Kluyveromyces lactis: one gene and its partner. The protein of the gene in region 1 interacts with the protein of each later gene in a pairwise test. Links are inferred from orthologs where the notes say so. Each region holds a gene or a part of one and is shown on either strand. Other genes may lie near its edges.

Evidence for each region.
Region 2: the proteins of NCS2 (region 1) and URM1 interact in binary tests that used the Saccharomyces cerevisiae proteins (3 or more experiments, as listed by UniProt). The link is inferred for Kluyveromyces lactis from reciprocal best matches to the Saccharomyces cerevisiae genes NCS2 and URM1.

What each region holds. Positions count from the first base shown.
Region 1 is NC_006042.1:2,235,295-2,242,471, reverse strand, and holds NCS2 (Ncs2p), read left to right. Parts: upstream 1-3,358; coding exon 3,359-4,750; downstream 4,751-7,177. Other genes in the region: protein channel TOM70, read right to left, coding at 204-2,018; COX23 (Cox23p), read right to left, coding at 2,684-3,052; DCP2 (decapping enzyme complex catalytic subunit), read right to left, coding at 4,857-7,177. UniProt on the Saccharomyces cerevisiae protein: Plays a central role in 2-thiolation of mcm(5)S(2)U at tRNA wobble positions of tRNA(Lys), tRNA(Glu) and tRNA(Gln). May act by forming a heterodimer with NCS6 that ligates sulfur from thiocarboxylated URM1 onto the uridine of tRNAs at wobble position.
Region 2 is NC_006040.1:1,211,070-1,216,165, forward strand, and holds URM1 (ubiquitin-related modifier URM1), read right to left. Parts: upstream 1,370-5,096; coding exon 1,064-1,369; downstream 1-1,063. Other genes in the region: NAS2 (Nas2p), read left to right, coding at 253-1,008; KLLA0_D14201g (2-isopropylmalate synthase), read left to right, coding at 2,258-4,009; telomerase subunit EST3, read left to right, coding at 4,660-5,096.

The sequences.
Region 1 (7,177 bases):
ACGCTGCTTACGAGTCATAAATAACTTGGGTGAAATGCTACAACTTTTTGTTTGTAAAATCATAACTTTCTTGGTAATTCATTCGTTTAGATGTTGCATGGTATGTTGCCATTATGGTCATTAAGGTGAGACAAAAACAATGAGCTATTGTAGCTTTACTCATATTGAAATGAATTAAATTCATTCGTGAATATCATGCTAATTTACGCGAGACCTTGAGCACGGTAGGCTGCAATAGCTTCGTCGATCTTACCCTTAATGAATGGATCAGCTCTGATCTTTTTCTGGACCTTGGTAGCCTCAGCGAAAGTAGTAGCTTGTAGTTTTTCATCGAAAGATCTTGAGAGATCGGCAGCATCTTCGAACAATTGAATGGCATCATCAATTTCTTCTTGTTGCAATTTTAGTTGAGCAAGACCGATCTTGGCTTGTTCGGATCTTGGATCGATCTTACAAGCTTCTTCAAATAATTCGGAAGCTTCAACGAAGTTTTCAACGGTTGGGTTTCTAATCAAAGCAGTGGCCTTACCAATCATTGGAGCAATACCGACGTGAATACCTGGTAAAGCATCTTCCAACTTGATGGCAATATCGTATTGCTTGATGGCAGCATCTAGAGAGTTCTTAGCAGCCAAAATTTCGGCATAAAAGTTTGGAACTTCTGGAGCAGTTGGGAACTTTCTTCTGGCTTCGCTGAACAAAGTTTCACAATCATCAAATCTATCGTCACGGAAAGCCAAGCAAGCACATTGGATGTAGGCAAAAATGTTTTCTGGATTTAATTCCTTAGCCTTATCGAAATCGGCACCAGCTTCTTTGAAGTTTTCAACAACAAAATGCATTTGACCGCGATGATAGTAAACAGCAGAGCAGTTTGGATCTAATTCTAAAGCTTTGTCAAAGTATTCCTTGTATTGGTTGGCTTCACCCTTGTCAGCCATAATCAAAGCCATGTAGATGTAAGTAGAAGGTCTTGGGTTCAAAGACAACGATTCTTCCAGGTTAATATGCGCGGTAATTGGATCATTTTTGAAGAACTTGAAAATACCCACATGTTCGAAGGCGATGGCAGCCTTCTTCTTCAAAGATTCATTATCTGGAGAAGATTCTAATTCTTTCTTGTATAACTCGGCAGCCTTGGTGAATTCTTCATCAGCCAATTCGTAACATCCGGTTTGACATTTGTACAAGTTTTCCAAACCTTTTTTCAACTCAACATCTGCTTCATTTTCGCCATCGTAATCATCGAAAGAAGTTTCAGGGTTGAAGATACCGAAGAATGATGCCAAAGAGGTGTTAGATGGTAATGGAGATTCTTTACCCTGGTTCTCCTTCAATTTTTCACCCAAGACCTTTGTGGCTTGTTTGTTCATGTTTCTTTCCAGCAGTTGCTCCACGGATTGACCGCTGTATTCACCCAACAAAGAGACAGCCGACAAGTCAAACATAGCATCGGAGAATTGGCCCAAGTTTTCATAAGCACTAGCTCTTCTCAACCAACATTTGGAGTAATCAGGCTTCAATTTCAAAGCGGCAGTGGTATCTTCAACAACTTTTTCGAAATTGTTAATTGAGACGTATGCAGCAGATCTGTTGGAGTAAAACACTGGATCCTCTTTCAATGAAATAGCTAAGGTATAATATTCAATAGCCTTTTCGAAATCCTTGGCCTTAAAGAATTCATTACCCTTGTCCTTCAACGCCAAAGCATATTTGTCAACTTGTTCTGGAGTAAACTCATCCTTCTTAGACAAATCTGGTTGACCGTTAGCGTCTACTGGATAAACGACATCAGAACCGTTTGATGAAGAAGACGAATCCTTCTTCTTCTTCCCGGCCCTCTTCTTCTTTTCACTCTTGGAAGTCTTCTTACTACCACTGGAACCAGAACCCAATTCTGCCCTCTGCAATTGGTTATAATAATAATAAGCACCAATAGCAGCACCACCGGCAGCAGCAGTTGCCAAGATGGCGGTCTTGTTACGAGTCACAAATGAACTCACAGAATTATCCGACATTTTCCTTTTTTCCTTTCAGTATTCAACAAACCAAAATAAAGCGTCTTGATATGATTCTAAATTTCTTTCACTAAATCCTATATCTCAATCAATGAAAATCTGCTAGATCCTATTGATGCTTACTACTGAGTGTTATTTCCTGAGGCTTTCGTTCGTCCTGTTCCATACAATAGCTCAATGTTTACAAAACTTTTTATATATCATAATTAATTTTGCACTTTTCTACTTTTTTTTTCGATTACGGAAACTTCTTACCTATGGGAATCTCTGATGCTGCTCGTAATAATCCGTATTTGTGTTTGATCGGAATGGGAAGCTGCATTTTTTTTTTTTTCGGTTTGGGATCTGGAATATTTTTTGGGTCGAAATCTTTACATGTGGGGTCCGAAACCATGTTTTGGAGGGAGCGCGAGTCGGATTCCAATAGTTAGGAGCAATGGAGAATATTCGGAAAGACGGGTAATATCAATTCCTTTATGTCACGTGATCTGTACTTTCAACTTGTGTTATTATTTTCTTTTTTTGTTTATTCAGGTTCCGTTTGTTAGCTTATGTCGTTCAATATGGGAATGGAGGATCATGCTCATTATCAATAAATAATTCATGCTATTGATTAGAAAGTTACTTCTCATTAAGTACGCTATTTACATGCAGATGTGGTTGAATTATTCCCAAAATTCTCTTTTCTCTCTTCTGGCCTTCAACCACTGCTTTTTACACTCTCTGTAAGCGTCGAAATAGTCATGGCATAGGTCTCTGTCGTAGTTGTTTAATTCAAGGCACTTGAAAGACATTTTAGATGATTCCTGGCATGGGTCGTAGTATTCAGAAGCACCTTTCACTGCAAATCTGTATCTGTTCAACGTAGATTCTGGATCATCAGGATAGAACTTGTAGGTGTTGACATCAGTCTTTTCCGGTGTAAAATTGACCTTAGTCTTATTGAGTTCGAGACTGGGGTCGACGTTCTCTGCCACCTTTTCAGGCTGTTGCAGCTTTTCAGCTGGTTGTGTTGTTTCTTGTTTATCGGTCATTTGTTGTTAGTAAGGCAGTAAGTTGCTAGCTTGAGCCTTTTTTTTATTTTCCCCTTTACCAGTAACTCATCTGCTACTAGTTCATCTGGATTCATTTTAACATTTCAATATTTTACTATGGTTTTCAGAACTCCAAAATTTCTAGATTGAAATTTCATGTTAACAACCACAGTGAAATGAAAATAAAAAAAAAAAAAAAAGAAAATCAATCTCATCTCATCTCATCTCTTAATAGTAACTAGTCACTGAATCAAATAAAAGCCTGTTAATACGTGCTTGCAAACCTTATCGCTGCGTCCAACTATCATGGTCATTTGTAAAAGGTGTAAGCTGCTGGATGCAACTCTAGTCTCGAGAAAAGAACCATTTTGTGATGAATGTTTCGTGAAATTTATTTCTTTGAAACAGAGGAAGCAGATGATGTCTGATGACTACTTCCAAGATATATTCAAAATCTCATATCCAGATAAGAAACGTGGTCAGGCAGAAGCTGATAAGCAAAATCAAGATTCCAATGTTCTCGTGCCGCTTTCTTTGGGATCCTCTTCTTTGGCAGTTTTAGATATCTTGAACGATACTTTGTTGGAGCAGAAACAAACACACCGGGGAAAAACTGGATTTCACGTAGAAGTAATCACGATTTGTGGACAGGCAGAGTTTGAAGAAGTGCGCGGTAAGATTGAACTTCTGAAATCAAAATATAAAGAAAACTCCGATAAGATTCTGTTCCATATTGTTGACAGAAATCAATTCTTTGCCGTGCCGTTTGATCTGCAAGAAATTACACTGTACATTGATAACTTCAACACTCTGGTAAGATCATCAAATAATCCAAGTACTACTGTAGAGAAAGTGCTTGCCAGCGCGCCTAACAAAACAGCGAAAGAAGATCTTTTGAACATTATTTATACCCATTTGATTAAGAAATTTGCCTTACAAAGAAATTTCAAAGCCATCTTATGGGGTCACTCGATGACAAAGTTAGCTGATGAAGTCATTAGTCTGACTGTTAAAGGACGTGGTGCAGAAATCGCAGGTTATCTTGATGATTCTTCCCTCGATAGTAAATATAATACCGCCTTCAGAAACTTTCATCCAGGCCGGGACGTTTTACTGTCAGAAATTGATGCTTACTGTCATATAAAAGGGCTTTCGCAATTCTCTCATAATTATGTTGTCCAGGACACTTTGTTTTATGACAAATTTGTGGACAAGCCTACCAAAAATGTCAAACTTATCAAAAATATGACGATGAATGAACTCGCGAGACAGTATTTTGATAACATTGAAGGTGATTACTCAAACGTGATATCTACAGTTGTTAGAACAGGTGCAAAATTATCTAACCCTGATAATGAACTAAATCAAATCATGCACTGTAGTATTTGCAATGCCATTATTTATAAGAATCCAGTAAATTGGCTTGACGGTATCACAGTTAGCAAGCCATTTGTGATTCATAATGAGGAAGAACTGACCAACTACAATGCCTGGGAGGCAGCTAATCCAGACAAAGCCGAAAAACTAAACAAAATGAGTGATACTCCTGCCAAGAATGTAGGCGTGTGTTACGGTTGTATTACCACTCTAACTGGCATGAAAGATAGAAAGTTAGAGTGGATACGAAGAGATGATAAAGCAGAACTAACAGCGGTTCTTCAAGAGTATGAAATCCCATCAGATGATTCTGAACAATAATAGATTTAGCTCTTTCAATTATACAGCTGAACTATCAAAATATTCCTTAGATGAAAAGTCTCATATATAAATATATGTAAGTGAAATTGCGAAATGCTGTAATGTCTCATCTTTTCAAGATACTCAATAATTCAGATGAAGGGTTGGAAGGAGTTTCTTGAACAGGAGCATTTGGCTTGTGTAATATATTCAAAAGTTCTTGCTGTTTAGTAAAACCTTGGTTTGGTGCAGGTTGTCCCATGTTAAGTGGCTGAGGTTGCATAGGATATCCATTAATCGGTTGCTGATATTGGAATTGCTGCTGAGGAGAGAAGCCTTGGGGAATATATGACATATTTTGGGGAGGATAACCTGGAGGTGGCATCATTTGCTGCATTTGCTGCATTTGGAAAGGCTGTTGAGGCTGTACTTGCAGAGGAGGCATCCTATTGTATTGGGTGTTGTGTGTCACAGGATCGTCCGATATTTGCGAGTTTAGGCCGGTCTTGGGATTCTTCAATATATTAAGCAATTCATTTGAGGGTTTGCTTGCTGGAGAAAGGTCTGATATTGGACTTTGAGGTTCACTGTTCTGTTGTGGTCTTTTCAGTAGTTGCATTAAGTCGCTTGCATCATTTTTAGGAGATGGTTCGTTTAGTGCAGGTGAGGCAGTAAACTGCTTTGAAAAATTAGAACCATTACGGTCGTTATTGGAAGAAGTATGATGTTCCACTGAAGCGTTCGAACTACTACTTTGACTATTCTCAAAGGTATTAGTGAATAAAGGAGACGAAGCGGCGCCTGGTACTTCTGATCTCGATGGTTTCTTCAATATGGACAATAAATCATTGGCTACACTTCTGTTTGAATGTGTCTCTGAATCGTTTATCTTTGGTTGGTCCTCTGATGGCTTCTTCAAGATTGACAATAAGTCGTTGGCTGCATTTTTGTTTGAAGTGGTTTCTGTATCGTTTCGTTTCTCAGAGACTGCTTTAATAGATTCATTGGAGGGAGACTGTGTGGCTGATGCCAATGTGTCACCACGCCTCAATAATCTGATTTTTGGCTTCACGGTTTGAGATTCAATATTATTAGCCTTATTTTGAGATTCCGGACGTTTCAAAAGTATAGGTTTTTGATTGTTTGTGGCACCTTGCTTTGTTTCAGGTTTGACAGGTTTTGAAGGTTGTGTTTCTTTCACACTTTTGGGTTCTTTCACTGTTAATAACTCATCATCTCTGTTGGGGTCCCATTCCGTGTCAGAATGACCAAGTTGTTCTTGAGAGCTTTCGTATTGACTTTCGTCAGATGAACTTTCGAATTCCTCGTAGTTTTCATCATCAGTGAACTCCGTGAAATGAGCAGATGGGAATGACGAAACGCTATCACTGCCTGAAATTTGTCTTTCCTTGTCATTGACAGTAGAACTTTTGTGTAAAAATGCCAGTAGTTCTTTGCTAGAGGCTTGTAAATCAGTATTTTGTTCCGTAGAATACGATTTTTCGTGGTCCAATTTATTATTTCCAGTGGTATTTATCGTCATACCGGTACCATTGACAATGTTATTATTGGTGTTATTACTGGAAGAAAAGTGAGAAACAGATTGGACGGACATAAGTGGAAACAAGCTACGAGCTTGATTCACATCAACCACAGGGTTTTCCGCAACATATGTCTCGTTTCTGGCTTGATGTTGAGCTGTTTTTGCAGATTTTTGTAGCATTTCCATCAACTCACGACCTGCGTCAAGCACGATCTTGTTCTCCTTCTTATTCAATCCTAAAATGGATTTCAAATGTTCCTCGGCGTATAATTTCAATTTATTTTCATCCTTGGCCCTCTTTTCGTTTTTAACGTATAAGGACAACGGTCTAATCATGGAATTGACCAAGAAAACTTTGGCACTGCCTTCATTCTTGGTGATTGCCTTGCTCAATTTTTTGAAATCTTTCCATTCAATGGCTTGAATTTCATTTTTGTGTTCTGGTTTAAACTCAAAGTCTTCAGGTACACCTTTCACGAGAAAGATTTTAAAGTTTTTACCATTCATGTTCCGTTCAACGTATTGATCAGCATCAATGAATCCGGTTAAATCGAAGCCGGTCTCCTCTTTAACTTCCCTTATGCAGCATGCGACGTCATCTTCATCTTTACCAATTTTACCTCGTGGGAAAGACCAGTGTTTTGAATTGATACCTCTCAACAATAATATCTTTGACAAACTATCGTTGAATATAGCGGCTCCCCTAACGGGAATGGTCTTCTTATAATTTGAAAACTTGACAAGTGCATTTTCTGGTGTGATATCCCAGTTCCAAATCAAAGGACAGATGTCTATGACGATCTTGGAGAAGCTTTTAATGCTTAAATTGGGCAAATATGGGTTCATTAGTTTAACGAAATCAGTGTAAAACCATGAGGCTTCTTCAAAATGGAATAGAACCCGCT
Region 2 (5,096 bases), on another chromosome or scaffold:
TAACTAGTCTATCAGATTTAAACATTTCGCGGTCGAAAAATCGAGCCAATGTCTACAAATACAAAATTACTGTTATGTTCCCTCACCCTCGTTCTTTTCTATTGAACATATCTTACTATAACAACCACTATTATTTCACTTTTACTACTTCTACTATATTATATACTTTATTGTTTAGAACCAGATCCTTATTTACATATTAGAAATCCTTTAAAAAAAAAATTAAACCCCAAGCTCTGCTTTCATTCAAACATGATCAACAATGATAAGGGACAACAGGTTGGGAAACTCAAGCCATATACTGGTAAACCTGATAACGCAATGAATAAATTAGAAGCTGCAGTGAGCAATGAAATCACTATCATTCCTACCGGTTTGACGGAACGAATCAACGAATTACCACATCTAAACTTCTCTCAAGCGTCACAATTGAAGAAAGAAGTGGAAGATGAATTGACGAACCAGTTCGATAATTTATCAGCCCACAAAGTTGATATGAATACCCCCTTGACTACCGCTGAGGGGTTTCCCCGCGGTGATTTGGATCTAGTCACTATACGGTTAATTAAACGTAACGTAAACGTATTGAGAAACGATTTGAGACGAATCATCGAAAGAGTCGAGTATCTATTGCCACTTGAATTTGAATCGCTTAATAAGCAAAACGCAACTGTAGGAAAGATGCAGACGCTTGAAATGGGAGATAGCAACGAGGATTCAGATCTAAATCTAGATTCTTTGATCGCTTTTGCAAAAGTGGTGGACGTAAAATTAGGATCTCCAAGTCATGACGCAGGATTACAAACAGATGATCTTATCATTAAATTCGGCACCGTACATGCCCTTAACCACAATAATCTATCCAATATCGGTAAACTTGTTCAAACTCGTATAGATGAAGAGATCGTACTTAAGATAAAGAGAAATAATGATATCGTTACTATACAGTTGGTACCTAGGTCCTGGCAAGGCGCAGGGTTACTAGGATGCAGGATAATACAAATTTGAATGAGAGGACAGCATATAATGCATATATATTCAACATCTCGGCAGTTTTTCCAGATCATCCACCGTGTAGCGTTGAGGTGAACGAAACAACGTCACCGTCTTCCAATACGTACTCTTTTTCACCTTCAAGTTCCCAATCGGTATCGTTGATCAAAGTCAAAATTCCTGGTCTGATACTATCGTTCTCTAAGAAAACATTCACGTCACCTTCATGTTCAATAAGGTTATCTACGATCCATTGGATTAAATCTCCGACATTGATCTCATCCTTCCCATCCAGTTGAACATCCACTTTATATTGTCTCTGTTTCTTGACAATAACATCCAATCCACCTAGAAATTCAATAATAACTCTGACCATTGTGGATTAATTTATCTGATATGTCCTAGTTTGACCTTGACCTGTATGTGATGTTTAATCAGTATCTCAGTAGTGACATGTCAAAGCTCATCATTATATTTCTTGGGTCCTTGGTTTCTGCTGAGAGGGAAAACTCACAAAAAAAAAAAATCGGGTGGAAATGACTTTGTCAGGTCGATCGGTACACCAATCCCCAAATTCTCTTCAATAACAATTAATATGCTCGCGTGGCGTAATGGCAACGCGTCTGACTTCTAATCAGAAGATTGTGGGTTCGACCCCCACCGTGAGTGCTTTATTTTTTTCTCATTTTTTCCCATTTTTCTGCTCATTCATAGCTTTCCTTTAGAAGTCACGGGACCGAGTATACCAAATAAAACTAAAGTACCAACTATACCGTATAGTTAGTTACCCAACCGCAGGATATACACCTCACACAAAAATGGCATTCCCTCTCCAACAAATTGTCCATTCTTCCATCGATTTCTCTGTCACTTCCAGCTCCGTTCCGTTCCCTTCTTCCATACTATGGTGATGACTCTGAAAAATTTTTAAAGGCATCGAGAAAATTGCTGAGTAACACAGACAGACCTCTGCAGATGAGCGTACCTGCAAACCGGTTGATATTTCTTAGACTTTGATTATGGATGACCAGGGTAAATGAGTCAGTCAAGCTGCAAAGGGAAAGAAAATGTCATCAGGTTAATCAACGATTTGCCAAGTGCATTATGAGTAATAAAAAAAAGCTGATGATGTGTTGCTAACATTGATTCATATATATATACATACATTCAAAACTTGAAATCATTCATACCACCTTAATTTGGTTGGTAATTAAAAAGGAAAACCCATCAGGCACATAGAGAAGTAAAGAGTCATTAGAGCAAGATGCCATTCTACAAAGATCCTTCAGTGAAGTATAAACCATTCGTTAGCAACGTCAAATTACAGGACAGGAAATGGCCTAGTAAAACCCTTAATAAGGCTCCAAGATGGTTAGCTACCGATTTAAGAGATGGGAATCAGTCTTTACCTGACCCGATGAATTTGGAAGAGAAGAAACTGATGCTCGATAAGTTATGCGAATTGGGTTTCAAAGAGATTGAAGTTGCTTTCCCTAGTGCTTCTAATATCGATTTCCAATTCACTCAATATGCAGTGAAAAACGTACCAGAAGACGTTTCCATTCAAGTTCTTTCTCCATGTCGTGAACCCTTGATCGAACGTACCGTTGAATCTTTGGTCGGTGCCAAGAGAGCCATTGTACATATCTATCTCGCGACATCACCATGTTTCAGAGAAATCGTTTTCAACAATATGTCTCATGAAGAAAGTATTGAAAAGGCTGTGAAATGTGCCAAACTTGTTAGGTCCTTGACAAAAGACCATCCGGATAGACAAGATACCCATTGGTCATTTGAGTTTTCTCCAGAAACGTTCAGCGATAGTGAACCGGATTTCGTTCTAGAGATTTGTGAAGCTGTTAAGGCTGCTTGGGGACCCACTGAAGATAATCCAATCATTTTCAATTTGCCAGCTACCGTCGAGATGGCTACACCAAACGTGTACGCTGACCAAATCGAATATTTCGCTCAAAGTATCTCCGAACGTGAGAAAGTATGTATCTCTCTCCATCCACATAACGATCGTGGGTGTGCTGTGGCAGCTGCAGAATTAGCTCAAATGGCTGGTGCAGATCGTGTCGAGGGATGTCTCTTCGGTAACGGTGAACGTACCGGTAACGTTGATTTGGTTACCTTGGCATTAAACCTCTACACACAGGGTGTATCTCCAAACCTCGATTTCTCCGATATGGCTTCTATTATTGAAGTCGTTGAGAAATGTAATAAGATTCCCGTGCATGCTAGAGCACCCTACGGAGGACAACTTGTCGTTTGTGCATTCAGTGGTTCTCATCAAGATGCCATCAAAAAGGGTTTCGAAAAATACGACAACAAGGTTAAGGCTTTACAAGAAAAAGAGGGTCCAGATGCAGTGGTACCTTGGAAAATGCCATATCTCCCCTTGGATCCTCAGGATATTGGAAGAACGTATGAGGCTATCATCAGAGTCAACTCGCAATCAGGTAAAGGTGGTTCTTCTTGGGTTATCCTAAAGAACTTGGAGCTAGATTTACCAAGAGATCTACAAATTGCATACTCTAAGATCGTTCAAAATGAAACTGAGATAGTCGGTAGAGAGTTGAAGAGCGATGAACTAATCTCTTTATTCGAGAAATCGTATTTCGTTGGATCTCATTCAACTACTGGTAAATTCAAGTTTATCGACTATAAATATGACAAATCTCCGGAGAATTTCACTCTTTCGGTGCAGCTATCAGATGGAACTACTCAATGGGATTTGGAAGGTACTGGTAACGGTCCAATCTCTTCTTTCATCGATGCTGTGAATAAAAACTTCAAAACTAATCTTGATGTGAAAAACTATCATGAGCATTCCTTGGGTAAGAGTTCCGATTCGAGAGCTGCTACTTATATCTCTGTCTCTCATGAAGGATTTGTTCAATGGGGTGTTGGTATTCATGAGGATACTACTCTGGCTTCATTCTTGGCGTTGTTATCTTGTATAAACGGTCTTGATAGGGCAAAGAACTTCACTGTCAATTCAGCTGCCAATTGATCTACCCATGCGGTATGGAAATAAACGCCATCATATCTGAACTATATATATATATATATAAATCAATGAGATATACCGATATTTATTTCAATAATGAAACATGAACAAAAGCTTCCAAAGGCATTCCCATGTTTCTTCTATTATGGCCATGCTCGTGGGTAAAGCATATTTACCAGAACCTATTGTGTCATCTGTGGCCCCTTTTACATGACAAAAGTAAGTCGGTTATATTCTATTCTTGTCGTAAATGTTTCAAGAATGAAGCGGTGGCTCAATGGTAGAGCTTTCGACTCCAGTTAAATTCTGGGAATTTTCCAAGGAAACAAAATTGCAATCGAAGGGTTGCAGGTTCAATTCCTGTCCGTTTCATTTTTTAACATTTTTGCATAGCTAGTCACATGACTACTTTTGCCACGTGGATTATGATTTTGTCCAATAAACTCTCATCGAATTTACTATTCCGCGATAGTTTAATGGTTAGAATTCGCGCTTGTCGCGTGCGAGATCGGGGTTCAATTCCCCGTCGCGGAGGAATTTTTTTACATTTTTGTATCAAGGTACAATCTCATCCTAAAACCCATTGTAGTACAGAAACAGAGAAGCATTATTAACATACACTGAACAGAGACTCTAACCTTATCAATCCTCACATGCCCAATGTTGTACTTTCTTCAAGATTAACGAATAATGATTCAGTGTTCTTGCAGGAATGGATTAAACCTTCGGTAAGGCCTTATTATTTAAAGAATGAAAAGACGAAATTCTGGCCAGAACAACGTGAACTGGTAACGGACTTACTAGAACATGATATCATAGAGTCAGCTTTCCAAACGGCTTTGAATCCCGCACCTCAGAGGTTCGTCAGAATTGTTAAATTCCATAGAGTAAACGATTACACCGTTTATGCAACGATTAGAGACTCTACAGCATTAATTCTATGCTACTTCACTGTAGACTGCGTGCTAGATTACGAAACTATAAACAATGATAGGATCACATTGAATACACTGAATACGTTGTTCGTCATCGGCAATGTAACCCTACAGTTTTGGAACCACAGAGAGTGCAAATTATGGTTCAATCAGGA